Struthio camelus: one gene and its partners. The protein of the gene in region 3 interacts with the protein of the main gene of each other region in a biochemical or structural test. Links are inferred from orthologs where the notes say so. Each region holds a gene or a part of one and is shown on either strand. Other genes may lie near its edges. The genes, in order: ARF6, ARF5 and RAB11FIP3.

The links.
Region 1: the proteins of RAB11FIP3 (region 3) and ARF6 form a complex in vitro, tested with the Homo sapiens proteins (2 studies listed by BioGRID). The link is inferred for Struthio camelus from reciprocal best matches to the Homo sapiens genes RAB11FIP3 and ARF6.
Region 2: the proteins of RAB11FIP3 (region 3) and ARF5 form a complex in vitro, tested with the Homo sapiens proteins (2 studies listed by BioGRID). The link is inferred for Struthio camelus from reciprocal best matches to the Homo sapiens genes RAB11FIP3 and ARF5.

What each region holds. Positions count from the first base shown.
Region 1 is NC_090946.1:81,167,720-81,177,540, reverse strand, and holds ARF6 (ADP-ribosylation factor 6), read left to right. Parts: upstream 1-4,932; 5' UTR 4,933-5,116; coding exon 5,117-5,644; 3' UTR 5,645-8,613; downstream 8,614-9,821. UniProt on the Homo sapiens protein: GTP-binding protein involved in protein trafficking that regulates endocytic recycling and cytoskeleton remodeling. GTP-bound form plays an important role in the transport of multiple palmitoylated proteins form the Golgi to the plasma membrane.
Region 2 is NC_090942.1:1,065,724-1,076,352, forward strand, and holds the start of ARF5 (ADP-ribosylation factor 5), read left to right. Parts: upstream 1-6,666; 5' UTR 6,667-6,764; coding exon 6,765-6,831; intron 6,832-6,904; coding exon 6,905-6,985; intron 6,986-9,073; coding exon 9,074-9,183; intron 9,184-9,929; coding exon 9,930-10,001; intron 10,002-10,629. Other genes in the region: GCC1 (GRIP and coiled-coil domain-containing protein 1), read right to left, coding at 1,251-2,555, 4,254-5,300.
Region 3 is NC_090956.1:17,787,072-17,797,508, reverse strand, and holds the start of RAB11FIP3 (rab11 family-interacting protein 3), read left to right. Parts: upstream 1-5,719; 5' UTR 5,720-5,873; intron 5,874-10,437. UniProt on the Homo sapiens protein: Downstream effector molecule for Rab11 GTPase which is involved in endocytic trafficking, cytokinesis and intracellular ciliogenesis by participating in membrane delivery. Recruited by Rab11 to endosomes where it links Rab11 to dynein motor complex.

The DNA of each region.
Region 1 (9,821 bases), on a different chromosome or scaffold from region 3:
GATAACAGAGGCTGGAGCACCCTTTCGTTTGATGGTATCAAGCAGAGGCATGCTGGTACCCTGCAGGGAAGGGAAGTGGCACTACCTCTTGGCAAAGGGAAGGCCCTGCTGCACAGAGGTGGGCTCCTCAATGGCTCTAGTCCAAGAACAGCTACAGTATCCCTGAAAATACCTTGGTACCTAAGCAAGTAATTCCTGCCAAGCAATGACACGTGTCCCATCACTTGTCAGGAAGGAAAAAAGAGGAGATCAGGAAGACCAGCGTGGACAGAACCCAGCTGCTGGCCAAGTGAAATGGGCAAAGACAAAGCTGGTCAAGCCCCATCTACGGACAGTCCCCAAGAATGAGGGAGCAGCCCAGCCAGCAAGAGAGTCACTGAGAAACCTGAACCAGTTGCTATTTAGAAGAGACCCAAGGAAGGGTATGTCTGAATCCAAAGCAGAGTGGGATGGAAATGGTACTTCCCCACTCTCTACTTACTCATTTTGTTTTGCTTTGTGTCTCATGGTACCGCGGGCGGTGGCACAGCTCTGCAGCCCAGCCATCACACCTCCTGCAGCCCAGATAAACAAGCATTCAAGATCCTGTTAACTGTTTCACTCGCTGTGCTGGCTGCAATCCAGAGCACAGACATACTTTGCTTGAGATCAGTGTTTCTTAACTGCTGGATCCTGGGAGAAGGCATCAAAGGCAACTCTCAGCTATTAAAAGCAAGCACAGAACTCTCATGTACACTTACACCCTCTGCTTATGCCTTATGCATAAGAAGGCTAAAAAAGCAGTCGTTTCCTGAAACCAGAAAAGGTTTATCCGAGGCCAGGGAGTAGAGGAGTCAATACCTGCACATGTACAGAAGCAGTACTTTAAAACTCCCAACATCTCCTCTCCCAAATATTTGGGTCAAGACTTGTTCTACTGCTGTCTAATTAATGAACTGTTGCTGGTGTTCACAACACACTGAAATGGTCTCATGGAACAGAGCCAAGTACAAATCCACTAACCTCCACATCCTGATGTTAATTTTAGCCCTGCTTGGCAGTAAACTCCATTTAGATAAATTTCCTTTACTAAAGAGATGAGACTGAACTGGCAGTATCCAGGGGGATCGGTAGGGCTCACTGTAAATTGCAGGGCAGTATGGTACTCAGCCATAATACTTGCTGCTTTAAAGACCAGAGCATGAACCCTGGCACTGCCTGTTGCACTCAGGGACACTCGTGAGGCCTGATGTCAGCAGATCGTACCCTCAGCTCAGCCTGCACGTGCTGCTTAAGAGAGGTCACGGATGGTATGTTTTCCTTGGCATTCTCCCTCTTTGCTCAATGCATGAAAGAGAAAGGCTTCCTCTGAAACTGTTGTTGTCATTCCCTTAATAATTCCGTAATCTAGGAAATCTCCCGTTCTCATTCTAGACTGCAAAGAGAGCACACGATTTCCCCTTTGCTGTTCCAAGGGGGATTGCTTTGCATGTGCCACATAACAGCAAAAATATGGCTGTGATAAAAATTAACCCAAATGAAAGATTTGCTATTTTTGAAGCGACAGAGGGATTGACAGAGGGTCAAGTCTCTTACACATGCAATCTCAAGTAAAAGCACACCTGTGCTCTCCGGGCAGGCTGGAAGGCAGCCACGTAGCCTGGCCTCCTGAAGACTGATGCCAAGGGGACCACGGGGGACATTTCACCGGGTTTGTACCCTGGCCCCCCTTCCCATGTCCTCTCCTGTGACTCACATACAGCTACCAACACAGGCTGCATTTCCCACTGCCTTCCTCCCCGCAGGCCCTGCCAGCACAAAGCGGGCTAACGCCCTGCGCAGGCAGGCCCTGCTCCAGCACGCCTGCCCTGCAATCACCAGGTGAGGACCAGCCCCATGGTGACTAAGAGCATACGAGGAAGCACAGGGCTGCCCCGTGCAGGGGCGGTGAGTCCTGGCGTACCGGCCTCGCCACCTAGTCACCGGCAGCCCAGCCTGGCGGGGTTGCGACATACGGCAGGGGTTTCTGTCTGTGAAACTGGCCCAACGTGTGGCTGTGAAGTACGTGCAGCAGGAGCCGTTTTGCACCGTGCAGGGTGCACAGTGGGGCACAGCTCCCAGGGAAGGCAGTGGAGGAATGTGGCCAGGTATTTGAACACTTTATTTCCTGGTTGGTTAGCCACGGTTTAAGTTCCACTGATCCTAGTTATCTGGAGTGACCCAAGACACCACCCACCAAAGAGCCTTAACCCTTTCTGCCACTACACATCCCAAGTTGTTTTGTTTTAAAACAGGGGAGATTCTTTTTGGAGAACACTGGGGAGGGCTCACCCCCATAGGCTACAGGCATGGCTGCAGCCGAGACATCCTGACTCCTGGTGTAGGTATGGGGGGAGACGTGCTTCTGCAGCCTCCTCCTTACTCCTCCTGTAATCTTGTCATGGTAGTGGGGGAGTTGTGCTCATATCCTCAAGCATCTTGCATCAAGGCTAGTGATACTGCAAATGTGGTTTGTGCTGTCAAATGTAGGCTTTTTTATATTGCAGAAGTTATGTGCTCCTGCTTGTCTTCTTCCCAAGCCTGTGAAGCCACTGGCTTGGCACGAGCCAGGGCACAAAAAAGCTGCTCCTAACCATACAGCCATGTCTAACACTCTGATGTATAACGCAGGCAGTAGCTGACTGGGCGTAGGACTGTTCTTGGTTTCATATCCTGTGACGTCTTTCAATATACAGCACGTACCTTCCGGGCCAGCCCGCCCTCCTCAAGGCCTTAAAAAACAAAAAAAAGGCAAACATCAAATTTATATTCTGTGGTTTTCAAAGATTTAAGTATGATGACCCTTTCAGTTATGGCTCATATAGGTCAGGCTCATAGGGGTCAGGCAGGACCACTCAGAGCTACACAAGGGCTCAAGCCCCTTCCACGCCCACATTTCAGTCTGTTCCCTGCCCCTGCTCTACTGCTCCTGCCAACTACCGGACACTACACAGTCTTCATAATGTCCCTAAAGTCACTGCCTCCCAACTTCCCACTTCCTTTCTCCAGTCTGCCACCTTCTTCCCTTTCCAGCAAGCCCTTCATTGGCACTTCCTCTTCTTAAAGAAAATACAGCTTGTGCTGTGCTCAGATGAGACCTGCTTTCTTCCCCCCAACTAACAGATTTTTAACAGCGATTCATTCAACATACCTACGTTAATTTTTCCAACACCTGCCAAGGCCAGTGTTGGCGTTTGCTACGTCTGGGCATCATTCAGGAGCTAATATACCACCAGCTCTACGCCACCACACAGGTCAAGTGAGCGGCCTAGCCAGGATCCCTCTTCTGTATGTTGCCTGAGCACCCTCAGTGTAATTGATTTGGGACACAACCACGGGATTTGAGCTTCCCTGTGAGGCTCCAACACTGCGTTCAGCTTTGCTCTTCCATTAGCAGGCAATGAGTCGAGACCCTGAGGGCCAGTCTGATGTTCCAGCTACGGCATTACAGAAAACAGCAGACTGGACGACACCTTAAGGGATTAGTTAGTCCAGCACCATGCATGAGCCCAGCTCAAGCACTCTGGATCATACTCCACAGGCTTCTGTCTGAGCTCCAAAGCGCGTGACCCTAAAACCTCAAGAAGGGACCGCACAGGCTCCCCCCGCAGATGGCTTCCCTCAGAAAGCCCTTCCCACAAGGTGGCCTAAACCTTTTGCCAACCTCGGCACGGCAGAGCAGGGCGATGACGAGCCCGGCCCCCCTCCCCGTCAGCCCCTTTTCCCTAGGGCGGCCTAGCGCAGGGCGGACCCCAGGCACCAGAGGCCCCTTCCCGCCTCGGTGGCCCTGTGAGACCTGTCCCTCCGCGAGGAGCCAGGGCCACCGGCGGCCGCGCAGCGACGGCGGGGCCCCTCAGGCGCATCACCCCTCCCCCAAAGCGCAGGCGGCCGGGCGCAACGGTTGGCGCCAACCGCCGTCAGGGCGGGCACGGGCACGCGCCCGCCCCCGCGCATGCGCGCAAGGAGCAGCGGCAGCGACACCCATCCCACCTCCCCCGCCCCGCTCCGGGCCCTTTAAGAAGCGCCCGTGGCGTCCTGCGCGTGTCGTGTGCTGACGTGTGATCGCGTGGCGCCTCTCTCCACAGACGCCCCGCCCCCTCCGGCTGCCGCATGCGCACTCACGCCGCAAGCCCCGGTCCCGGCCCCGCCCCGTTGCTCCCCGGCCCGCTGCGCAGGCGCAGCAGTACGGGAAGTACCGCCCTCGCCTGTGCTGGGCGGCGGGGCGTGCGCAGACGGCGCACGCGCGGCGCTCGCGGCGGGCAAATCGGGCGCGCTCCTACGCCGCCGCCCCGCCCTTCTGCGCCGGCGTGCTCCGTCTGCGCGCGCTCCCTCCGACGCGCGCGGGGCGGGCCGCCGTGACGGCACCCGGCGCACGCGCGGTTCCCTTCCCGAGGCCGCGCGGGGGCGGGCGGAAAGGGGCGGGGCGCCGCTTGCCCCGCTCCCCCCCCACCGCCGCCGCGCTGTGAGGGGGGGCCGGGCGCATGCGCAGAGGGCAGGGCGGGTGGGGCCGGGGGCGGGGGCGCGGCGCGCAGGCGCAGTGGCGGCGGAGGGGGAAGTGAGGCGGGCTCGCGCGGCGCCTTTTCCGGCGAGGGCAGCTGCCTGAGGGGAGCGGCGCGGCGCGGCGCGGCCAGCAGCGGAGCCGGCCTCGGCCTCGGCCCCGGCCTCAGCCCCAGCCCGCGGGCGGCCCTGAGGTAACTACCGGCGGCCCCGCTACCTCCGCCTGCGCGGGCCAGGACGCGGAGCCGCCGCCCCTGAGCCGGCCTCCATGAGCTGAGGCGCCGGGGCGGCAGCCAAGGCAAGAGCCGGGCGGAGCCGTTGCCGCCGCCGTCGCCGCCTCAGGCCCGGCCGGCGAGCGGGGCGCGGCGCGGCCGGTCTTCCCGCTCCGCAGCGGCAGGTCTCGGCCTCCGCGGCCGGCCCATGCGGCGCTGAGCCCCGCCTGCCCTTGGCCTGACGCGCCGGGCCGGGCCGGCCCCGCTCCGCTGCGCTCCGGGCCGCCGCCCCGCGCCGGCTGCTCGGCTGCGTCGCCGCTCGTCCCTCATCTCTCCCTTCCCCCCCCTCCCCCCCCCCGCCGGCGCCGGGCCCCTTGGATGCCGCCGAGATGGGCAAGGTGCTGTCCAAGATCTTCGGCAACAAGGAGATGCGGATCCTGATGCTGGGTCTGGACGCGGCCGGTAAAACCACCATCCTGTACAAACTGAAGCTGGGCCAGTCGGTCACCACCATCCCCACCGTGGGCTTCAACGTGGAGACGGTGACTTACAAAAACGTCAAGTTCAACGTGTGGGATGTCGGGGGCCAGGACAAGATCCGTCCCCTCTGGAGGCACTACTACACGGGCACGCAAGGGTTGATCTTTGTGGTGGACTGCGCCGATCGCGACCGCATCGACGAGGCCCGCCAGGAGCTCCACCGCATCATCAACGACAGGGAGATGCGGGACGCCATCATCCTCATCTTCGCCAACAAGCAGGACCTGCCCGATGCCATGAAACCCCATGAAATCCAGGAGAAACTGGGCCTGACCCGAATCAGGGATAGGAATTGGTACGTGCAGCCCTCCTGTGCTACTACAGGGGATGGACTCTACGAAGGGCTGACATGGTTAACATCCAATTATAAATCCTAATGAGAGAATAACTATTTAGTCTACAAAGAATTAAAAAAAAAATAACCCACATGGCTTTCCAGACGAATGATTCTCTACTGAAAAGTAAAACAAAAGCATCCATAGGATTATGATCACCTTTCTCCAGTTACCACCCTTTCGTTCTACACACTGACTGGATTCCTGTTTTAACTCTCCTTGCTTGGCGTTAGGATGCTCTAATCTTCAAACGTGACACGAACACAAGCACTAGATGCTATGGCAGACCTCCAGCAAACAGGGGAAAGACACATTGTAGACTTGCTAAGTAACTTTTTTTTTTCCTCTTGATAGCCTTTAAGATGGTTTGATTATTTTGGGGGATGGTTGGGGGAGGGGTACCATTTTCAGCGTATGCTTTCTGGTTCTACTTTTTTGATTACGTTTTTTTCTTCTATCACTTGCTGTAGATTGCTACTTTTTTGCATCCATGCAGAATATGTTGATAGGTCTACTTCATCTAGTAAACGGAAAACTATTGCTTAAAATCAAACTGCAGTCTGTCTTTTTATATTAAGGACTTTTTTAAAAGTTCTGTTAATCTGTAACTAAATAGTGACTCTCAGTCTGTCTTCATATCTCAGACTAATAATGAAACGAAATCTTGCCTACAGTGGCAGATAGTGAGAATACCATTGTAATATGTTCAAAGTGCATATCAGGCATAATGTTAACTAGGTAATGTAAGAACTGCTTTGAAATGTCAGCTGTGAAGTTCTGAACCATACATCATGCATGAGAAGGGATGCAAGTAAGTTCCCCATACTACATAGCAACCATATAGCAAATACAACATGAATGATGTAGTAGTTCCAGGGTATATACTGTTCAGTTTTTGTCTTGCATTGCAAACTTAATGATGTTTAGCTGCAGTTTTTATTACTTGTGTCAGTCTCCAATTCAACGCAAGATATGTTCCTTCCAAAAAAATGCAGCAATAACGTGTAACCATTGCGACAAGTTTTAATTTAAATCACAAACGTTTAGGCAAAAATCTAGCACTGACTTTACTGTCTTGCGATAAAGAAAAGTTGCTTTCATCTCAAGACACTTGAAGACATCTTTTAAACCTTAAAAGGATTTATTTTCGTTACTTCTGAAATGCATGTATTGGAGAAAGGAGAACCAGAACCCTATTTTTCCATTTTGTAGACTCCCGAATGGGCAAGTTCAGCGCGAAGCTTTAACAGAGCTCAGTAATTCTGACATGTGAATGATTGCCATTTTGAGGAAATCACTTACTGGTTTAGTTCTGCAAGACTAGACTTAACTCATACAAATAGTTGCAGTCTTCGCCATCTGTCTCGGTAGCATGTTGTTGCTGTAGTCCTGTATGAAAGGAACTATGTTGGATGTCTGAAGCCCATTGAGTAACTATTAATGAGAACGGGAGGAGAGAGTGAGAAGACGACTATGAATGTAAACTTCCATAACTAGTTCTTAAAGGGCAAGCAGCTCATTTGCCATGTCACAGTTTTCAGATGTGACTGGCAAAAAAAACCCACCCAAAGCAAGTATTTGTATTAGTATAAAATCTCAATCAAGTATTAATACTGGGTGCAAAAAATGTAAAGCAGCTGGTTCTTATTCAGCCTTAAGGATTAACTTCAGATTTCCTCAAGGAGTTAAAATTCAATTGGGGAATTCTAGGAATGTATGCTACAAAACCAGAAGAAAATGGCTTTCTTTTTTTTTTTCCTTCCTTTTCCAAGGTTATGAGTTTTACATGAAATTGGGGCATTACACTACATTTCTGCAGTGTTTACTCTGCATGCTAAATGCATTGTGTATGGAGCTCTTACCAAAGACATATGGGAAGATAAAAATGCTGAATTCACTTCTGAATTTGTATGCTTTGGACCACTTACAAATTACCTTAGAGCATGGTTCCGAAAGAAGACTTATCTTGATGTGGGTTGCAAATGGGATTGAATGGGTTCTTGATACTAGAAGATAGAGCACTGATTGATTATAAACCTGTGCAAGTTAAAGATAAGAGTCTGGAAAAACAAGCTTCATGTACAGTACAAAAGCTCTTAAATCTCAGTCCTGAAGAAGAGGAGGTGAGGCTTTTCACTTAAGTCTTTTTGCCATTGGAATATCATTGCTCTATTTTCTAGGGTTTTTTTTTTTTTATAAGCGTAAGAATTCTTTTTTCTGTTGATGTAACTTAACAAATAGCGTGGTAGTATAAAGACTAAAAATATAAGAATATGGTTATTGTTTTCTTCTGGAGCATAAATAAAATAGCCAAGCACAAAGTAAATGCCTAAACTGGAAAACTTGAAGGTCTATTAATGGTTCTTGAACTTTCTTAAATCTATTCTCAGTCAAAATGAAAACTTAAATAACTTCATTTTCAGTCTAAGTTGGTTTACTGTTTTTTTTTTCCTCTTCAAATGCTGGGGCAGACTTCTTTGCTAGACTTTGCATTAAGTTGAATTCACAATTTTGTATTTCCTTAGTAACTTTGTTACTTTAGATATTCTGTTTTTGTAGGTGAAAGGAAACTGATTATGCTTCTGTTTTTTTGTTTATGTCTTTTTTTGGGAGAAAAAAGTTACTGAAACATGTGGCAGAGACTTCAAAAATAAAAGGCCATTGCTACTGAACAAAATACAGTTTTCACTTTCAACATGTCCTTTATAGGTTATAGCTGAACCTCACCTTGAACTAGTGGCTATGAGGCAGTAAACATAGCCTGTAGGATAAAGTGGCAATCTGTAAGAAATCCAATGATTTAAAAACTAATCTGAAGTTTAAGTGCATCAATTTGTGTTCATGTGAATTTATGGAGTAAGTTTTGAATGGCGTTAATCGTGTCCGATAAGTGAATGAGTTTGTAGACTGTGATCTCCCTGACTAAAGTAAACAGGAATTTTGTGTTCTCAATATGGCTGTAGTGTTGGTAAAGAACTAATAAGCAGAAAATAAAGCAATTACACAGTGGAGCTCTCCTGGTATGTTACTTATATTTAATTATGAGAGAAACAGAAAGGGGCAAGATGGTACTGGAGTAGTGCATTCTGCTGACATAAAGAGGTCTCTGTTCTATATTTCACAGTTTTGAAAGCCTGTCTGTAATTCTTTTGAGACTTAGATGAGTGACTATTTTTATAAATGGAAAGGATGATGCTTCTTTAATACTCCCACTTTTAATAATCTTCTTTTAGCAAACTTCAGTGTCAAATCTGTAATGACTTTGGTAAAGCTGCCAGCCCCAAGCAACTTGCATGAGGACTTGGAAAAGTCATACAGTGCACGGCAGCTTCTGTGAGAGGGCACACAGGGGCTGTGGCGGAGGAGGACAGGGCCGTGTTTAACAGAAGAAACTAGCTGGTTGGAAAGGGAAGATTTTAGGCTAATGTGGAAAATGCAGCTATGCACAAAAGGGTCGATGACTATGAATAAGGGTGCTTGTGGAGTGACAGATGTGAAGTTGGGACGTTTTTCGGTGCGGTGCCCGAATAGGAAAGGAGTGAGCCAATAAAAGGACTTGGGCAGGTGCAGCAGGGGAATGCATGGGGGGACAGGGCAGGGCGAGGCAGCCCGGGCAGGATGCAGCAGGCTACGGTTTCTCTAACAGCTGCAGTTCCTCACGCTGAAGGGGAGACAAAAACGTTGCAGGAAACACTTAACGGTTTCAGCCCGAAGCTGGGGTGACGGTCTGGTCGCCTTCGAGTAGGGAGTTTGCCGACAGAAGGGATGGACAGATGAGGTTTCGAGGCAACTTCCAGCACCCCCAACCGCAGGTGCAAGGGCAGGCGTTAGTGACTTGGCATTAGTGTCATGTTGTTGCAAAGCTTTAAGGGATTGCCAGAAAACTTTATTCAGCTTCTGGGGAGCACGCCGCGTGTAGGGGTGGACGGTGGTCCTACGGCAGCTGCAATGCTCTGGAAAGCATTTTTATTCTGCAACATTTAGGTTAGGCCTCATCTACTTGAGCGTCAGTTAAGGGTGTGGCTGTGTAAATGAACTTAGCCTGGCTTAATTAAACCACTTCAAGTTTGTAGACAAGGCTGCAGAAGAGTAAACTCATGTCTCTTTCATTGCAGTAGTTAGTCATTTTTCAAAATGTCAGCACTTATCATTTAAAATCAGACCTTTGTTACAGCAGCATGTATGACTGTAGAGCGCCGTTCTTGAATTGCTCCTTTCC
Region 2 (10,629 bases), on a different chromosome or scaffold from region 3:
AGAAGAGGAAGGCCACTTCTTCCCAATGGTGGGCTTACAGCCGTCCACCAAAACCAGAGGTGCTCCAAGACGTTTTGGCTTCCCTCCTGCCAAGCTCAGTAATTTCCAGAACAACTATTCAAGAATCTCAGGGTTTATGCAGCACCAGGCCACACCTTCATCCATACTCAAGTTCTTACTACAAACCGTATTTCATTAGTAAGTCCAGGAGACGCATGCTCCCAGAGTTGTTACCTTTTGCCCCTTATAGCTGCTTTCTTCTTTCAATCTCAGCATGAACAATGCCTTGCTCTCCCCCAAACTACATCCAAGAGCATCCGAAACATCACTGAAACTCCCAAATGCTAAGAAAATGACTGTTAAAGAATCAATTTGTCTATGTTAGCCTTTCCTCAGCTTGCTTTCTGTAATATCCTGGTTCTCACCTCAAAAAGGGTTAGAAAGCTTAGACATTTATTCTAACACGATGGGTACATAAGACCTTTTGGTTTGAAAATGGTGGGGAATCACCGCTTTGCTCCTTTACAGTTAGAAGGGTACGAATGTTAAATACTTAGAATATCTTCCTTCCTCCCTTCCTGGGAATCACACGTAACTGCTCAGAGAGAATTCTTCATCAGTAGTGAGAGTGCACCTTAACACACGGTGCCATAGGATGATCGCCAGTGCTATGAGGAACTGCTGCACCCACTCATACAAATTTAATTCTAGCTCATAAAATCTCTTTTGAAATTGCTCAAGATTCTCTGCATTGGGATGATGCTGGTAGTTAAGATTCATCCTTCTTGCAGGCTTTCAGTTCTTTCTGTTATGTAATTATTTTAGCACTGCGTCAAGTGCTTTTTTTTTTTTTTTTTTTTTAAGTATATTTTGAATCACAAGCCTGTCTGGAGTTTCAAGATACAAGCAAGTTTCACCCTAAAAGGGTTCCCCATCCTATGCGTGACAGGCAAAGATTTTTTAAAAGTTGATTTTAAAAAGCATCAGTATCTTCCAAAAAAATTGTTTTTAAATCAAGTTCCCACTTAGAGCGAAATCTCACACCCGAGAGCACTGTGATCCTACTGGAATAGTTGGAACAATTCTACTTTAGATTAGTGCTAGTAGCACCAGTTTAAGCCCAATTCTTTCCTGAAAGCTCTCTGCTCCATTGCACCTGATTGGAAAGAGCTTATCCCACAAATGATTTGGCTTTAGATAATAACCAGAAACATGTTATAGAAAAACTGTTATGGGTAAAAACTACCATCTCATCTCTTCCCAGAAAGCCACCAGCTACTGTAAGCTGACTGTTTTGTAATAGCTTGCTTTTCTTCTGGGCTGAAATGCAGAATAGTCAATATGGCAGTTAGAGTCTGTTGGCGACCAAGAGAATCTGGCAGTGTTAAAAATCTATAGACAATGTTCTTGAGGTATTCCAAGTTGGCTCCCTCTCTGCTCTTATCTCTGAAATTCTTCTGGATTTCATTTTGAAGCACGGACACCTCTTCCCGGTGCTTCTCCTCCTCAACCAGGATCTTCTCCTGGAGCTGGTGAACTTCCATTTCCAGCTTGTGCTTCTGCTTCCTCAGCGCTACAATTTCCACCTCTTTGCGAGCCAGCTGCTCTGCATACAAGAAGAAGGTGGGCTCACTGGTGGCAGCGAGATGAAGAGCCTGGGGGAGATTCTCTGAAGAATCGTTACCTGATGAGTCATTGCTGGTAACATCAGTCCCTGATGCTAGGTAGTTTTTGGATCCTTGAAGCCCATAAGACAACGTGACAGATCTCAGCTGCTCCAGTTCTTGGTCCTTTTCTGCCAGCACAGCCAGTGCTCGGTCCCGCTGTTTGTGCATTTCTTCCTCCAGTTTCAGTGTCCGTTCCCTGTAGTCCAGCTGGCATCGCTCTAATTCCTGCCTGTGAATTTGCTGCAGCTGGGACAGCTCTTGCCTCTTGGCTTCCATATCTTGCTGGTGCTGCTTCTCCATTTCCTCAGAGGACAGTCGAAGTACAACATATTTCTCTTTCAGATCAGCCAGCTGCTCTTGAGCTTCCTCCAGTTCTTTAGCCAGATTGCCATCTTTGGCTGACTTGTTCTTGAGGACCACTTGTGCCCTCATCTTGTACCTTTCAAATTCTTCCTTCAGCTGCTTTAGCTCCTGCTGATAGTACAAAGCAGTTGCCTTCTCGCCATCCCCAGTCTCAGTGCCCTTCGGCAGCTCCAGCTCACACAGCTTCTCGAAGTCCAGAGCAGGCTGACTCTTCTTAGCTGCTGCCTGCAATAGCTTCTTCAGCTTCTCCATTTTATCCTTTAGCACATTCACATCAAGGTTGCTTTCTTCTAGATGAATATCAGCAGGAGAGCGGCTGGACGCAGCAATGGCTAGGGTTTTGTTCTCCAAGTCCAACTGTACAATGCGGTCCTTCAGTTTCTGAATGACCATTTGGTCTTTCTGCTTGGCTTTTTCGTAAGTGCCAAGTAGTTCGGACACTTCGGAGACCTGGCCCTCCAAACTAGCCACTCGCCGCTCCTCCATCTGGGCGTGCTGGCGGAGCTGCTCCTCTGCCTGTGCAGTCTGAGAGCAAAGAGACACGGGAGGGTTAGATTACCTCAACACTCTCTGCAGGAGGTCTGCAGTTTACCCAGGGGCTTAATTCTGCTCTGATGAATTCCAGGCAAGGGCTGAGCCATCCTTTCCCCTAAAATCCTGTACAAGCCACTACGCTGACTTGCCCGTATTGAAAAGGGAGATTCAAGGATAAAAGAAACCAAAGGCATTTTTGTTTTTACTCCCAGTCCTCCAACAGAATTCCTGTCAGCAGTGTTATCTGTATTGCTACAGGTTGGTGGGGGGTAGGAAAAAGCAAATTCATGTCACAGTCTGACATAGGATGTTTAAAAACATGCACGTGCTTTAAAACTCTCATATCTCAAACTACAATTTATTTAAATGCTATGCTTTGTTGCACTGGTATTAACATAATTCAGTGGTTCCTGAGTAACTACAACAAACACCTGGTGCTCACAGTTTTTATGGCTATCGAGAGCCAACTGTCTAATAGAAAATTTGAATGGCAGCACTTGACTGACCATCACGAATTAAAGCATAACTGGGGTCAGATCATTGTCACCTCTGTCAGAGAACGTGTTGCAGATACCGTCCAAAAAGAGGCAAATAGCGTGAAATCAGCCTAGTCCCTAATTAGACCCTTCAGATTAGAAAGGAGAAAACGTGTTCCACGCCGAGGGATGAGGAGGATACCATTCTGGAGTGCTTCCGGCTGCAAATTCAGTTACTGGTGCCATCTCCTGAGCACGTTGCCCCACAACCCACAGAGTTACACAGGTTCCTCTTTTACATCACATCCCTTGTTCTAGCTCTTTTCTCTCCCCACATGCATGCAGGCAAGAGCCTTTTTCTCATATTTACCTTTCTTCTTTCCCCAGAGCTCTTCAAACTTCACTGAAAAGTAACCCCAGGCCCTTCAATAGCACAGGCCACGAAGCTCCCTGGGCTTACGCTAGCCAAACCAGTTTATGTTGTTCCCATCAGCACGGATGGGCTGTCACCTTTAGCTGCACAGCATCTTTCACAATGGATCAGACAAGAACCTCTGCAGTTTGATAGCTTTTGTCACAGCAGCTGTGAAATTCACAGAAATCTCTCATCTGCCATGCTGTAGAATAGGAAAAGGGAAAGATGGTTTCATGACTTCAACAAGCAAGTAGTGCAGGCCCTGAAGACGAAGGCATGAGAGGCCTTATTTCACAATTATCTCCACACTCATCCGGGGAAAGTCCTACCGATTTACAGAACATTGCATTAGAAGTTATTTCCTTTTATGAGCTACAGTAGTTGTACCTTGCATTGCCCTTAAATACTTTACAAGGACAAGAGCACATTCATTGCCACAGTGAGTCAAAGCAAAGGTCTCTCCTCCCATCCCAGCCACTATCACACCAGATGATAACGTGTTCAGAACCTAATGACGCTCTAGAGGATAGCCACAGCCCAAGCACCTCATAAAGGCTGCTCCCAACGCCCATGGTCATTAGCCCCTGCATAGTATGACTTACACACTGAACCACAAACAGCCTTTATTTTCCTCAGGGAATACCGTCTCATCAAATAAAGCCATGATGTTCTTACTTATTTCAAACTTCTTGGACAGGGAAGGGAAATTGTGCCGCCACTCCAGTCAAACCCTGCCCCCTGACTGCTGCTGCTATGTCCCGCAGAGTAAGCTGCTCAAGCACACAGCCAGGGAATTACCTTTCTCATCTCTTGCAATAGCTGCACTTGGAAGTGATTCTTGAGACTGGCCATCTCCTCCTGCAGATCCTGTATCCGTGGGTCTGGTTTGTTGCTCTCTTCCTGCACAGTTTGCAACTCTTTTTTCAGGTCTTCTACCTCCTGGCTCAGCTGCTTGATCTGCAGTTCATACCCCTCCGCACGGTCAGCCAGGCATACCCTCCCAGCCAACAGCTCCCTGGTCTCCTCTAGCTTTAGCTCTACGTCCTGGCGTGAAGTCCTCTCAGTCTGGAGCAGCTTCTGCAGCTCTCGCAGCATAACAGCGTGGTCACCCTGTTCTTGGGCTCGGTCATGCTGCTGTGTGATCAGACGGGCTTTGGTCTCTGCTAACTGTTCCTGGACAGACTTCAGCTCGGTCTCCAACTTGTCCCTCTCATCCTCTGCTTTCTTAACGGCATCATCCAGGTCTTGTTTCATCTTCTTCTTGTCTGCTTGGTATGAAGCTTCCATGCGAGATTTCTCCTGTGTGACTGTGGACAGAGCACTGGTCAAGGTGGCCAGCTGAGTCTTCAGCTGGAGCACTCTTTTATCAGCCTCACCAGCAGATGATGGCACATCTCCGCTGTTTGTGCTGATGCCGCTCTCTGAACCGCTTGTCTCCTCTGATTTAAGAGAGGAGGCAGTGGCCGCAGGCTTATCATCCTCAGCTCCTGGTTCAGCTTTGGTACTGGCCAGACTGGCAGCCGTGTCTGCACTGGTGGCTGTCCCCACGCTATCCTCACTGTGAACAGAACTCCTGTCATCAGCAGAATCGGCAAAGGAAGAGCTGGAGCTTGCCACAGACGCAGGGTGAGCTCCACTCAAGCCAACATCTGCCTCATGAGACACGGACAATACTTTCAAGCTAGCTTCCAAGGCCTCCTTTTCTTTGAGCAAGCTCTTGTAGGCTCTGACAACATCCTTCAGCCGAGCCTGGTACTGAAGAAGCTGCTTTTTCTGAGATTCAATAGTTTCTAGAAGATCTTTTTTACTTGGGCCACCTCCGAAGTTCATGCCAAACTTCTCCATGATGCCCTGTGCGATCTGAAACGAGAAGGAGAAAACCAGTGCACAGGCTAAACAAAGAGCAAAGACATATTTATGATTAACAGGAGCAGGTTGCTCATCAGGACCAGCATGCTGGACTCCCCCTGGGACACCAGTTAATGACCCTGTAACAGAACAGCCTAAGAAACATACTGGGCTGCTGTTAGGCCGCAGAAGGGTTGAGGTGGGCAAGGACCTCTGGAGACCGGCTGGTCCAACCCCCTGCTCAAGCAGGGTCACCGAGAGCACGTTGCCCAGGATCGCGTCCAGGTGGGTTTTGGAACATCTCCAAGGAGGGAGGCTCCACAACCGCTCTGGGCAACCTGTGCCGGTGCTCTGTCACCCTCGCGCTGAAGAAGTTTTTCCTCATGCTCAGACAGAGCTTCCTGGGCTTCAGCCGGGGCCCGCTGCCTCTCGTCCTGTCACCGGGCCCCACCGGGGGGGGGGGGGAGGGCCCAGCCGCGCACCGCCAGCCCGGAGCCCTACCAAGGGGGCCTCTCCCGGGCCGCCGGGGCTGGGGGAGGCATCGGGGCAGGAGAGAGGGCAGCGACGGGCCGCCGGGGGCGTCCCCAAACCCCCCCTCCCGCTCCCGGCCCGCGCCGCCGCCGCCGCCCGGGCCTCACCTGCAGGCCGGCGGGTCGCAGCCTCCACTGCGCAGGCGCGGAGCCCCCCCCCCCGCCGCCCGCCGCGGCTCAGTGCGCACGCGCCAGACCGCCGTTTTTTTTCCCCCCCCGCCTCCTCCACCCCCTCCCGGGAGATCGGACTGCGCAGGCGCGAACCGCACCGAGGCGCGAGGGCGGCGCCTGGCGGGGCGCCCGTCACAATCCGCCGGGGTGAGATTCCCCCTCCCCCCCCCCTCCCCCGGGGCATGCGCACATGGGGGCGACACGCCACAGACGCGCCGCGAGCGCCGCCCGCGGAGCCAATGGGCTTCAATGCGCAGGCGCAGCCCCGCCCCCCGGGGGGGCCAATACGCCATCGGCAGCAGGGGCGGGGGCGGAAGTGGGCGGGGCTTCCGTGGGGACGGGAGCGGGGGGGGGGTGCGCGCGCGCGCGCGCGTCAGAGGGAAGGGGCGAGGCCCATGGAGGCGTGTCACGGCGAGGGGCGGGCCTAAATAACCCCGGGGGCGGGGCTTCTCCGGCGGGGCGCCGTAAGGCAGGGATGAGGCCGAGGGGGCGGGGCTTCGTCCAAGGGGGCGTGGCGGCCGGGGGGGCGGGCCCGAGGGGCAGGAGGCGGGCCCGGGCGGCGCGGGGGCGCAGGGAGCGGGCGGGGCCTGGCTAAGAGGGGGCGGGGTCTAGCTAAGTGAGGGCGGGGAGGGGGCGGGGTCTGGCGGGGAGGGGGCGGGGCCTGGCGGCGAGGGGGCGTGGCGCGGCGCGGCGGAGCGCCGAGGCAGCGGGGCCGTCGCGTCCCTCCCCTCCCGCCGCCGCCGCCGCCGCCGCCGCCGCCATGGGCCTCACGGTGTCCGCCATCTTCTCCCGCATCTTCGGCAAGAAGCAGATGCGGATCCTCATGGGTGAGCGGCGGGGGCGGGCGGCGGGCCGGGGCCGGGCCTGGGGGCACCGGTGACCGCCGCCTCTCTGTTGCAGTGGGGCTGGACGCCGCCGGCAAGACCACCATCCTCTACAAGCTGAAGCTGGGCGAGATCGTCACCACCATCCCCACCATCGGTGAGTGGCCGCCGCCGGGCCGCCCCCGGCCGCCCCCGGCCCTGGACGCGGCTGGCGTCGCCGGCCCGGTGCCCCGTCCGCGTGCCGGGGGCTGCCGGCCGGCTGGGAGGGTGGTCCTGGCCCGGCGCGGTCGAGCGGCCCTACCGCGCGGAGGCCGGGGGCCTCGGCAGCGCCTGCCGCCTCCCGCCTTTGCAGCCTTGCCGGGCGCGCCGCCTCGCTCGGCGAGCAGGGTTGGCTTGTGGGCCACCTTGCGCTCGCGCAGCTTGGTTTGCGGCTCCTCATCTGCCTTGTGTTGGCAAGCGCTGAACTGAAGCCCTTACGTCAGCGTGATCTTGCTTCGGTCTGGTTCAAAGGCACTTCGCTTGGCGAGGAGGCCGCCACGTGCTGTTTTCAGAGCCTGCCCGAGCTCTAAAGGCAGGACAGGTTGTTGTTCCTGCCGGCGCACGGGTGGAAAGCCTTTAGGGAGGCTTTCAACGCTGTCTCCCATAACATCTCAGACAAACTGGTGAAGGACACGCTAACTAAGTCAACTGAAATCTGGCTAAACTGCTGGGCTCAGAGGGTTATGATGAGTAGCACAAAGTCCACCTGGAGGCCGGTCACGAGTGGTGCGCCCCAGGGGTCCATACTGGGGCCAACACTCTTTAACACCTTCGTTAATGACCTGGGTGGTGGGACCGAACGCACCCTCAGCAAGTTTGTAGACAATGCAAAAGGGGGAGGAGTGGCTGATACCCCAGAGGGGCCTCAAGAGGCTGGAGAGATGGGCAGAGAGGAACCTCATGAAGTTCAACACAGGGAAGGGCAGAGTCCTGCCCCTGGGGAGCAATAACTCCAGACACCAGGACAAGCTGGGGTCTGCAGCCAACTGGCTGCAGAGCAGCCTTGCAGAGAAGGCCTAGGTGGTCCTGGTGGGACAACAAGTTGAACATGGGTCAGCAACATACTCTTACAGCAAAGGTGGCCAGTGGCCTCCTGGGTTGCATTAGGCAGAGCGTTGCTAGCAGGTCGAGGGAGGTGATCCTTCCCCTCTGCTCAGCCCTGGTGAGGCCACACCTGGAGTGCCGAGTCCAGGTCTGGGCTCCTCAGGACAGAGAGGCATGGACCTGCTGGAGCATGTCCAGCAAAGGACCACAGAGATGATGAAGGAACTGGAGCATCTGTCATATTAAGAAAGGCTGAGAGAGCTGGGACTCTTCAGCCTGGAGAAGAGAAGACTCAGGGTGGTGTCTTATTCGTGTGACTAAAGAGCTGAAGGTAAGATGTTAAGAAGATGTGCCAGACTCTTCTCAGTTGTGCCCGGTGACAGGATAAGAGGCAGTGGGCGCAAGCTGAAACACAGGAATTTCCACTTGAACACAAGAAAACACTCCTTCACTGTGAGGGTGACTGAGCACTGGAACAGATTGCCCAGAGAGGTTGTGGAGTCTCCATCCTTGGAGATATTCAAAATCCACCTGGACACGATCCTGTGCAATGTGTTCTACATGACCCTGCTTGAGTTGGGGATTGGACTAGATGATCTCCAGAGGCTCTTCTCAACCCCAACTGTTCTGTGATTTTTGGTACATGAGTATCAGCCACATCTGGGCTGCTGAGGTTTTCAAGGGGATGTTCCCAGGGGCTGGCTGGTGAAATCATGCAGTGCTGGTCCTGGAGAGCTGGCAGGGCCAGGATAGACTTGCTGGGCAATGCTTGTGAGCGTGGGGATGCTCAGCTTGCAGAGTGAGCAGGCTGAGGGCAGGAAGCTCTGCAGCATGTGTTTCCTAGACCCTCTGCACAGCCGAATTGTGTTAACAGTGCGGTGCTGGGGGTAGAGATGCTCCCTGGGGATTGGTGGCAGATGAATGCAGCAGTGCACCTTGGTCTCCCTTCCTGCACTCCTGAGACACCAGTGGGTGTTGTATGCCTGATGCTGCATCATCTCCCTGTGCGATTCTCTGTCCCGCAGCTCAGAAACACAGAGTTTGATCAGACTAGGGCTGCTGCCTCCTGTGTCTCTTGCCTGTGGTCTGAGAGCCCTGAGGCTGCCAGCAGGATTGACAGTGTGTGTGCTGTCACTTCTTGCCCTTCCTGCCACCCCTGCAGGGTTCAACGTGGAGACAGTGGAGTACAAGAACATCTGCTTCACGGTCTGGGATGTGGGTGGCCAGGACAAAATCCGCCCCCTGTGGAGGCACTACTTCCAGAACACGCAGGTACGTGCCGCCGCAGGCCACGGTGGATGTGGCTGTTGCATGGGGACCCCTTCAGGCCTCTGTGCTGCTGGGGGGGCGAAGGGTCATGGGCCCCCACATCTGCAACAAACGCTGTTCTGGTCGGTGGGATGAACCTGCTCCCCTCTTAGCAAAAGAGGGCATTGCGTGGGGAAAGGTCGAAGCTCATCGTCACCTCTGGTCCTCGAGTGGCTGGTGGCAGGCTTTCTTCCTCCTAACGAGGAACTGAGCAGGGAGCTCGGCTGAAGTCACTCTCGTTCCCTCGTGTGCAGGCATGTGCTTTGGGATTAGAGGAAATCTGGGATAGTGCTTGGTTGAACTTCATGACTTGTAGCGATGCAGGGTCCCAGCAGCCTGTGGTCCCTTGGAGCTTCTGGCATGATCCTGCCTGAACTGAGCGTGTGAGTGGCTGCAGGAAATAATTCCTGGCTCCCAGTGCAGTGAGCCAGATGGGTCCCTAAGGACTGTATCTGGATATTTCCCTCAGCTCCTTAGCAGGAAGAGAAGTGTCTGAGATAAGAGTCCTTCAGAGGACTAGGTGTAGGACTAATTGGGCAAGGTTAATCACCCTTGCTGCTCTGGTTCGGCATGGGCATGGGCTGAGGAGGGCTTGGCAGGCAGCTGAGTTGTTCTCTGTTTGTCATGGGGTGTCTGTAGGCTGCCCTGACATCTACCTCCTCGCTGGGCCGGGCACAAGCTGCCTGCTCCAACCTTGACTTCTCTTACAGGGCCTCATCTTTGTTGTGGACAGCAATGACCGTGAAAGAGTGCAAGAGTCTGCAGATGAGCTGCAGAAGATGGTAAGTGTTGGCGGGAACTGCGTGTGCCCGGCTGAGAGATCTGGTCTTGCACGGAGGCTGGCTTGCCCTGGCAGAGGGGGCTGTTGCATTGCCAGCCTGGCTGTCCTGGGGCACAGAAAGTATCTGCCCCAGCCCTGCAGAAGTGCCTTTGTGCCAGCATGAGGCAGGGACTGGAGCATTCACCAGTTTTTGTCAAACGACTTGTCTCTCCCTGTGAAAAGGAGCAGCAAGCGTCTGTCTGCTGACACAGAGATTGCTTCCCAGGAGACAAGGTTTAAGGATCAGACGACAATTCTAATCTACCAGGCAGAGGCTTAAACTGTAGTGATCAGGAGCAATTGCAAGAGGGGTAAAAAACACAAGAAAACACAGTTAAGAAAACACAGTTCTTGGTTATACTTAGGGCTTTCTTTAGCTGAGGCACTGAAACGGCCAGTGCAGGAGCCTGCTGCTCTCAGGTTATTGTGTTCTGAACGTTCCCTGAGTCCACGAGGAGCCCACGCACAGTGTGGCGGCAGGCGAGTGTTTGGAGCACTCTCCAAAGCGCTCTCCTGTGGCCTGTGTCAGGGTTGGCAGGAGGGGTGGGAAGGCTGGGGAGGCTGGAGGTCTGGGTGCCCTCGGGCACCGG
Region 3 (10,437 bases):
CGGAGCTGATAGCTACTACCTCTCTGACAAGCGACTGTTGATGGTGACGCTGCTGATCCTGCCTCTGCTGGGTGGAGGGAGCACCAAGGATGCTGGGTGGGGAGCAAGCCTATGCCAATTCTGTGCCATTGTTTTCTTCCGAGCTCACATGGCTGAGACTGCGAGGACAGCAAGGGGTGGGCAGGCTGTGATGTTTCCTGTCCAGTTTGTGTCCCCCTTCATGTTGTTCTCCTGGCTTTTCCTGAGTCTCAGGCAGTGCTCCCCCAGGCTATCCATCCCCTTCCCAGGCTCTCCCCTGGGTCAGAGACCTGCCTGAGATACCCAGCAGCATCCCCTTTTTGGGAAGGCGCGTACTTCAGGCCATTCTGGGTTGAGCAAAGCCGTGTAATTTCCCACTGTCACTGCTAGCTGCCATGTCTGTGCCTTATCCTTCTGCAGGGATGAGGCTAGCCTTAGTGCTCAGAGCATCTCTTGCTTTGTAACAGGAGCTGGCAGTTCTCTGAGGGCAGACAGGGGCCAAGCCCCTTCCTGGCCCCCGGCGGGAGCAGAAATGGCTTTGTTACCTCCTGTAATGCTAGGCCAAGAGCAGGTTCCTCGATGAGGCAGCGGTCTCTTGAGGCTGGCACAGATGCAGTTGGGATAGCCATTATCCCAGGAATAGAGATGGTGTGTGTAGGCCAAAGCCAACCACAGATGGTTCTGTACTGCTGTGCACATTGTAGCTCTCTCTCAAGAGACTGGGTGTGCAGCTTGCTGTCAGCCCTGTCTGTCTGTCACGCTATCTCATGCTGTCTCCTTTCTTAATACTTACACTACAGATGAGGGTAAATCAAGGGCACGCTGAGGGCTAGCTGAAGTTCAGACCTTTCTGAACTGGCCACTGAGCTGACAAGCTGCAGGGAGCTGCAGCAGTTCTGCATTGGGCTGCTGGACGCAAACCTGCCCCCTGTGCTGGAGCCTCGTGAGGTACACACCCATCGTGTGCTCGTGGGCTCTGCTCTGCAGCGTTCAGTGCCCTGCTGCTGACAGTTTTTAAGCTTCACTTGAATTCTCTGAAGTCTGATTTAGAAAACTGCGTTTCCTGCTTGATTATAGACTTGACGAGTTTTGCTCCTTCCTCCAGGCCATGAATAAAAAACTTCTGTTCTTGACTGTGACACTTCTCATCTGTTCACCTGCTCAAGGTTTTGATCCTGCAACATTTGTTCTGCCTTTAATTGCTGTGAGCTTGGAAAGGGTTGCTTGTTTCCCTTTTTCACTTGTGAACCTGTAGTCTCAACAGCAAGAGAGTTGAAAGACCATGTTGCATCTTAGGTCAGAGCATCCTTTTAGCCAAGGTTGCTATGCCAGCTTACTGCTGCATGAGCAAAGCAAACAGGCTGTCTGTGGGGCACCCTGGGGTGCTGACTGATACTGGCGGTCCCAATCAAGCCCTGAGGGAGGAGGAAAAACCGCTACTCCTACTAGCAGTGCTCTGTGGCACCCAAGTGCTTGGAGGCTCCTTGGCCCCAGCACCCTAGGCCAGTGCTGTGTGTGGAGCTACTGCCTCCGCAGCCCCAGCCCAGCTCTCTGGGCAGACGCTGGCAGGCAGCTGTTGGATCGGGTCCCTTGGCGGAGGTACTGAAGGACTCTGCGTGGGAGAGAGACCCCAGCCCCTTCAGAGGGGCGAGTATGTGTTTGGACCAGGATCCGGGCCTTTCCTCAGGCTGTCCCAGGAGTCACATTGGTGATGTACTGAACCAACCCACCACCTCCTGCCCCAGGCCTGTGTGCGCTGAGGAAGGGGGATGCTGTTTCTTGGGGCTGTAGGAAGCACCATGGGCTGTCTTCCTGCCAGGCCTGGGGTCCCAGGACAGCTGTGATCACAGAGTGGGTGTGTGGACCGTTCTGGCCGAGATATATCTTCCAGGAAGTCAACCGGCCTCACTGCACTGTCTCCTCATGTCCTGTCCTGCAGTTCACTGTCCTGACAATGAGAAATTGGCCTAATTCCCCCCTTGGAGTGCAGCTGGCTTCAGCCCTTGATCATAAGCTCTGGCTTTGCTCTTCCCAGGTAATTTTGGACAAGTATTTTCTCTTGGAGAAGGTACTTATGTGACGCTTTTTGGTCCTAGCCCCTCAGGTACGGTCTGTTCTCTGAGTTGCACCCCTTGTTCTCAGAGGGTGCACGTATTTAACTGTGTCTTGTTTAACCATGACCAAGCGAGCCAGGGGCTGTCTGTCCCTGTGTGTGATAACAGCAGTGGTGGCTCTTGGAGGTTTTGCTCTAGCCAGCCCCGTGGCAGCCCCTCGGTGCGTGTGCAGTGGACGCAGTGACACTGAGGGGCTTCAGTGGGAACCGCCTGGGATGTGCTAGTATGAGGCTGGGATAGCGCAGGGAGGTGCAGGCAGAGCTGTGGCCCCCTCGGTTTCCCGCAGCTTCGATGCTGTCTCTGAGCTGCAGTCAGGTGACGTACGCCGACCGCCGGCAGGACATCGGGCAGGTCCCCGCGCTGCCGTTCGCCTGCGGGGAGCGGTGCGAGGTTTCCCCGCTTCGGTGCAGCAGGGAGAGATGTGCAAGGAAAGGTGCCGGAGGAGAGGCGGCCTTGGCTGCGGCCCAGGAGCTGCTGCCAGGCCTAGGAGGTGTCACGTTGAGCCGGGCTCCCTGCCCGGCAGACGCGGGTGCTACCCCTGCGTGCAGCGCGGCCTGGGCGGGTGGCGAGGCCGGAGCCGGGCAGAGCAGCCCGCGTCGCCCGCTGCCTGGCTGAGCCCTCTGCCCCGGGGCAGCCCCAACGCGCGGGAACCTCTGCGGCGCGCGCGGCAGGTCTGGCTGGGTGAGAGCCTACTGACAGGCTCCTGAGCAGGCGCTTTCCCCCTTGCACCTTGGTATCGAGAGGCATCGCTCTGCCAGGAAGTGCGAACCAGCTGCGATCAAAGAGGATCCAAAGCGGTTAGGGGAAGAGACCTCTGTCCTCCTGAGAGCACATGGGCAGCATCTTTCCCAAATCCTGGCTTCATGCTGAGCCTCACGTTAGAAACGTCTGCTCTCCCGTGCCCGCAGAGCCAGGGTCCTGGAGCGGGTGCTCCCCATCCTGCCCTGCGAGCCGCGGAAAGCCCTGCTGCCGGCCGGGTGCTTGTGCCACGTGTCCCTGAAGTGGCTTTACGGTTGTTTTTGCTGCTTTAGGCTTTCTTGGCGGTTTCTCCCCAGGCCAGGTTTCTCGCTGTTCCTGCTGCGGGAGGCGGACGAGGCCAGGCCGTGGCGCGTGACCCATTGCGAGGAGCCGAGTCCTCCTCTATCGGCGAGAGCAGTGAGACGGGAGGAGCTGGAGACCTGGCAGTTCCCCGGAGCTTGTCAAGGGGAAGCTGCTTTTTTTTTTTTTTTTTTTTTTGCAGAGTATCAGGAAAAAGAGCCTCAGAGGAGGCAAAGCAGCTTCTCCCGCTTTCCCTGCGAGCAGCTCAGCAGCTGCTGGTGACCTTAAATAGCTGTTTCAGCCATTTGTTCCATTTTCTTTAAGGCCCAGATCTCACTTCCTGCAGTGGCCACGAGCATGTTTTTCCCTATGGACTAACTAAAGATGAGCGAGAGCCGAGGCTGAGAACAGAGCGGGGCTTATTCGAATCACCCGATGCACCTAAAATACAGCCCAGAGGTCGCAGGGAGCCGGTCCTGCCGCGTCAGGCAGCCAGCCGCGGCCGTGCAGCGAGTTGGGCAGCGCGGCAGGGCCGTTATCCCCTCGCAGGAAACCCTTTGCTTTCGCTCACGCGTCACTGTGTCGCGAACCCGGGGGATTGATTTGCAGCACAGAGGGGATCTGCCGCCTTGCAGCGGTCCCGGCATGGTTCCCTTTGCAGGCGACGCTTCGGGCAGCGAGCAGCCGCTGCCGCGAGCAGCTCCCGGCAGCAGCTTTCCCCCGGCAGGACCGCAGCCACCCCCTTCCACCGCACACAACAGCTCGGGGGAGCTAAGATGAGTTTTCAAACCTTTCCAGCAGCAGCCTGATCCTCACCTGGGTCAGACAGGTTTTTTCCTCCCTCCGGGGGAGGCTGCTTAACCCCAGCAGCTGTTTCTACCCACGGCAGGGAATTACATGACGAACGAAAGTCGTCGGTGCTACAGCTTCAGGCAGCCTGCGGAAAGCATGGTGCAAACCTCTAGCTGCACCTGCAAGGCAGAAGGGAGAGAGACCGGGAGGACCAAGATGGTTTAAAATGAAACCGAAAAGGAGATTTAGGCTAGGGAATGCGGGTGGAGCGGGGCAAGGCGGGAGAGGTGCGTGTGCCCCCTGCCAGCCTCGTGGCCCAGAGCCCTCCCTGCGCCTCCTTCCCCTGCAGCAGGACGCAGGCCAGGCGGGGGCGGCTTGGGGGCTGCAACGGCAGCGACGCGCACCTGCATCGCCACAGGTGCCCCCGGGCTGCACGAGGCTAGTGAGAGGCTGCTCCGGCTCCCAGGGTTGGGTGTTAAATGATTAGGGTGGACTGTAACTCCGACCAGTGGGGCTGCCTTACTGCAGCCAGCTGTGCCGTTAGCGCCCACGGCTCCGTGGCCTGGGGGGGTGGGCAGGAGCGCGCAGCCTGGCCGGGCAGTGTGCTGGGGACCACGCTGGTGCTGCTGTGGTGACACCAGCCAGGTTGGGAGCGCTGCCCTGGGCACCCTGCTGCTTGGCACTGGGAAACGAGGTGCAGGGAGCAGCGGCAGCACAGCTGTGCCATGCACAGCGAGCCTGGTGACACGTGCGGAGGTTGATGAGATGCACGGCGGCTGGCGCATGGTGAGGGCAGTAGGATGGACAGTGCATGGGGAGGCTGCTGCAATGCATGGGGCCTGGTGCACGGTGAGGCTGGCAGGATGCACGGGTTATGGGGAGGCTGGTGGGATGCATAGGGCCTGAAGCATAGTGAGGCTGGCGGGATGCATGGGTCATGGGGAGGGGAGGCCAGCAGGATGCACAGGGCCTGGAGGATGCATGGCTCGTGGGCAGGCTGGTGGGATGCCCGGGGCCGGTGCATGACAAGGCTGGCGGGATGCCCCGTGTGCAGCACGGCGTGCGGGTGCGCAGGGCGCAGCGCCCCGTGGGGGCGGCGCAGGGCGCGGCCGGGGGACGCGCGGCGCGGGCGGCACGTGCTCGCGCCTGGCCCTTTAACTGCGGCCGCGCGCGCGCGCGCGGGCGGCGGCGGGGGGCACGCTGGAAGGCGAGTGACGTCACCGCTCCAGCTACTGCGGCGGCTACTGGATTAAATTTCGCCGTTGGCGGCGGCCTCCCCCGCGAGCGGCCGCGCGGGCGGGCGGGGAGGTTGTTTGCCGCCGCCGCCGGCGGGAAGCGGCCGGGCGCCCCGGTGGGTCCGGCCGGTGCCGCAGGGCCGAGCGCGGCGCGGGCGGGCGCGGCGGGGCGGGGCGCGGCGGGCGGAGCCGGCGCCGCCTCGCACAAAGCCCTGCCCGGGAGCGGGCGGAGCCGGCGGCGCCGCGCCGGGCCGGGCCGGGCCGCAGCGCACCGGGAGGGCAGCGCCACCGGGGCCGCCCCGCGCCCGCCGTGTGAGGGGCCATGGCCGCGGGGGCACGGCGGCGCCGCCGCGGGGCTCGGCGCGGAGGCAGCGGCGGGGCGGGCGCCGGCGGCGGCCGCGGGCTCTGAGCGCCGCCGATGAAAATGGAGCCGCGTCCCCCGGCGGCCCTGCCCCAGCCGCCGCCGCGGGGGGAGCCGCCGGCCGGGCCGGGCCTGCCGCCCCCTGAGGCGGCCGAGCCGGGCGCCGCGGAGGAGGGCGGCTGCGCCGAGCCGCCGGCGCTGCGGGAGGACGAGCCCCGCCTGCGCGCCGTCTTCGACGCCCTCGACCGCGACGGCGACGGCTTCGTGCGCGTGGAGGAGTTCGTGCAGTTCGCCACGGCCTACGGCGCCGAGCAGGTGAGCGAGCGGCCCGGCGGCGGCGGCGGCCTCCCCCCCCCACCCCCCCCCCCCCCGGCCGGGCCCGGCCCTGGCGGCGTCGCGCTGCGGCCGCGCCGCGTGCGCCCCACGCGGCCCCTCCGCGCGGGGTGCGGGGCCGCCCCTCACCGGGGCCGCCGGCCGCGCCGCTTCCTTCCCGTTTCCGCCCCGCTGCCGCCGGCGGGCGTCGCCTCGTGGCGGGCCAGGTGCGAGGTGGTTTGAACCCCCCTCCCTCCCCGACGTGGCGAGAGGCGCTGGCCGCCGGGGTGCGGGGGAGCCGTGGCGCCTCTGCGCGGCGGTGAGGGGCAGCGCTGCCCCGGGGCAGCCTCCCCCCTCCCTGCCTTTGCCCGGGGGCGCGGGCGCCCTCGGGCCGCTGCGCGTCCCGCCGCGCTCGGGAGCCGCGTCCGCGCCGCTCCGCGGCATGACAAAGCAAATTCTGGCGCGGGAAGGAGCGTCTGGGGCGGCGGAGGGCTTTCAGCGCCTCGCCTCACGGCCGGAGCACCTGTTCGGGGGGCGTTTTGTTTAACCGCCGCCGGAAAGCGGAGGAGCGTGACTCCTTTGTCTCGGCTGGCGCCCGGGAAGCATCGCTGGCTGCGAGCCGGGGCCGCGGCCCAGGAGGGAGGTGCTGAGCTCGGGTGCGGCCGGCCCCACCGACAGCCCGCGCAGCCGGGAGCGGACCCCCCCCCCGTCACTGTGTGCCAGCGCTTCAGAGGTGCCGAAACTAGCCGTGAAGCGCTTTGGGGTTTTGCCCCGAGCGGGGGCTGCGAGGTGCTAAGGCCTAGCCCGGGTGAAGCGGGCTGCGCAGGGGGTTCTCGTGTTGCTGGGCATCGTCCGTTTGAACTGACCCGGCTCGCGAACGGCTGCGTGCAGGCTTCTCGTCTCAGCTCCCTCTTCAAATCCCTCCTTCTTCTTGCAGAGAACAGTTATCGGTAATGCTGTCCGCACAGAGCTATATTGTGCTTTTCATCTCTCTAGCTATCTATCTCTATATAAAGTGTGTGCCTATATAGTACACACACACGCTCTATGATATATAGCTGTACGTATATGTGTGTTGCTGAAAAAAAATATATATTGATATAGCTAGTTCTCCATGTGCTGAACAACTGTCTCTTGGTACTGTAAGTCCTGGAACATCCTGGCAAGACTGATGTGACGACAGCTGAGCCAACAGGTAATGGGCATCCCAGGGAATGAAGCCCAGTACCTTTTGCAGAGGCATGCCAAAAAAGAAAATGTAAGCTTATGATGCTTGCGCTTGTGAGAAGACTTAATGTTAGCTTGCAGCTCAGAAAAGAAAGACAACATGCTGAGCATGAAGGTGGGGAAAGGGTTGTTGGTGAGATCTGTTTCCAGCAGATATATTGAACAGTGGAGGAAGGTGTGTGGGGAAATTTCTTGACCTCTTTTGCTTTAAGCAAATGTAACTTGGGCCAAAAATGGGCCTTCTGAAAAATGAAAATCCAGCTCAGGTGAAAGTTAAAGGGCAGGATTATCATGGGTTGGGTAAAATGATGTTAAAGGTGACTAAAATGAAATTTCAAGATGTATAACCAAGGTTATACTTAAAACTGGGACTTGGGAGGCTTGCAAGAGAGTTCCCAAGGGTTTGATGGCTCATGAAGTTGTCGAGTAGTTGTTCGGTTGGCAAGGAGTTAATGAGGAGCCGGTCCCAGTCCTCTTTGCTCTATCTCTTGTCTAGGAATTGGAGGTACCTGCTTCCTTTCCTTCTCCCCCTTCTTCCTCCTAACCACCGCCCACACGGGTGGCTGCGTGGAAGGTATGAATGAGGTGTTGGAACAAACTGCTAAATTTAAGCACAGCAAGTCATCAGAGCTAGCTGATTCATCTAAGAGTTCAGAGGGCTGAAGGGTTAAGGAAGCACGTGTGTAAAACAATATGTAGCGGAGAGCTGGAGAGTAGCAAATGTTGTGTTTAGCATTCACTAAAGCACCAGAGGCATTTATGGGCTACTGAGTTCAGTGCTCTCAGGTTATTTGGCTGAAACAATTATTAGCTAAATGTCAAAGGAAAGAGACCAACGGACGCTTATTCCATAAAAGATTAAATGGAGTTGAGTTTCTGTTAGGATTTCTTCTCCGCGTGATCAAAACCATGCATAGGAGAAACTGGGGTGTTTTGGTCTGGGGGATTTTGTTGTTTTTGAGGTAGTTTGGGTTGTTGAAAGACTGTCTTAAACTCCATGGCTGCGTAATGGGAGGCGTAGTGCTAGTATGGAGTAGAAGACATCAAGGCATAGAAAGCTAAAGACTATTTGTTCTTCTTTGAAATGATGAAAGTTAATAGGGATCAAAGCTGTCACCAGTACCTTTGTTTAAAGCGTTGTATGGAAAGGATGGGCACTGAGGTCCCAGTGTTTGACCCCTTAGCTAGGGGTAGCCTTGGCCCTAGGAGATGCGGCCCCACGTAGGGCTCTGCAGGCCATTACGAGTGGCCGCGTGTGTCGAACGCAGACTGCCGCGCGGACGCCTAAACGAGGCGTGCACAGGGGAAGATAGGTCTTGAGGACGGCTTGACTTAGCATACCAACCTCCGTGGACTGTTCACTAGTAGCTCATGAGGCAGTTCCTAGCGGCATTGTATTTTCATTATCTCCCCTCCTCTTACTTTTACGCGTTTCCTAGCACCCGGCGTTCACCTGGAGCTGCTCTGTATGCTGTCGTGGCCCAGGGGATCCCCAGCGAGCGGTACGCGGGAGTAGGGTAACGGGGAGACCCTGTAACGAAGGGGGAAGAAAAGCATTAGGGTATCAAATCGGAGAGCAAGTGAAGAAGTACAGAGTCATGTTTTATGTAACTGTTATGTCACCTTGCAAAGCAGAGGGTTGTATCTTCCATTTACGTGAGTTATACAGAGTCTGAGGCTTATCGCACAAGATTTTAAAGCAGCAAATACATAATTTGTCTTGCCTGTTTTACAGTTGCAGTATATGTGTCTGATTGCAGTGAGACAGAAGGCAGAGCCTTTTCTCACCGGCTTTGTTACTAGCTAGAAACGGCGGATTGTGTTGGGGAGGAGGAGAAACAAGTGTTTGTGATGCATGAGGGGAAGCTATCCTGCTGTCTCTTTCTTTTTTTATCTAGAAGATAATTGGAGATGGAAAAGCCTTTTGCACCACATGATCTCTCTACCTCAGTTCAATTAAAATAAGTCCCTGCAATTTGCTTGGCATATTTGAAAGTAGGTTAGACAATACAGCATCTCTGCTTCCTGTGTTTTGACAGAGATCTTTGACCTTTTTTTCCCCCCCTTGATGATCAGTTCAAGCTTTGTTTCAGTGTGCTTTGTTTCCCTTTCTTTAATATTAACATCCTTTAAATATCTGCCCTGGACTACCAACCACCTTCTGCTCCAAATCGGCTAATCCTCAGCTGAACTCTCCATGTTTACCTTTTATCAGCTTCTTGGAAAGAGGTGGCCAGCCTGACTGGGATGTTGCGGAAGGAATCGGGTCTCGGCATAGCAGGTACTCTGCCTTGAAAACTCCAGACAGCGGATGCAGAGACAAGGATTTTATTTTTATTTTCCTAATGAAAAACTCTCCAAGTCTCAGCAATTGTTTTCTGGAATGAAGTCTGGATGCTGTCACACTACAGCTTTTCAGTGTACTTTTCTTATAGTTTCAAGATCTGGGTCACTCTGAGCACAGGTAAAAGCTAAAAAAGCCCTCCTTACCCTAAGGTAAAGGGCCTTAAGGAAGTCCAGTTTCTTCTCCCCCCTCCCCCCCCCCAAGCTGCAAACCACTCAAACTTGTGCAGTGTAGTTGCAGTCTCCTGTCTAGTGAATCCAGACTTGCTTTTCCTTGTCAGCTCTGATGGACCCCCTAGGATCTGTTCAGAGACCCTGGGTCAGACCTCTTACCTCCAGTAGAGCTCAGTCTTGGAGCTGCTGAGGATGCATGTGATCTTAAGTATCCTCTCTATTCCCCTCTTTCTCCCATGTCCCCAGAAATCGAATGTTTTGGAACTGTGTCATGGGGAAACCTCAGGTTTTTTTCTTTACTCTGAGGAGTGTTGTGGTTTTTGTTTGTTTTTTCCCTCAGAGGAGAAGAAATGCTGGCTTTGCCTGTGAAGAGATTTCTCAAAAGTGTCATGTGAAGGTTCTCAGACCATGTAAATGTGAGTGAGGCTCCAAATTGCTTCCAACTGTGGTGCTGCTGCTGTACCTTTCAGAGGCTTTAATTGCTGTTTAACTTTGTCTGCTGGCTGAGAAGGGAGCTGGAATTGCAGTGAGAGTGATGCTGCGGGTATGTAGTAGGCTTGAGCTTGCCTCTGGACAGACAGACAGTCACGCTCACACGTATGTGTATTTTGGAAGAGGAACAAATCTGAACTATTCTGCTTGCATTGACTGAGGGCCCAGTTTTTTCGCTATAGAAATCTGTGGCAAAACTCCCATTTGCTTCACTGATTCAGGCTTAAGCTCTTGCTCACCTCAAATATTCGGCTGGTTTGGCTGGAAACGCGCTATAGTGATTAGTCTGTCTCCTTCCTCCTCCCCTTTCAAAAGATAGTATATCATCATT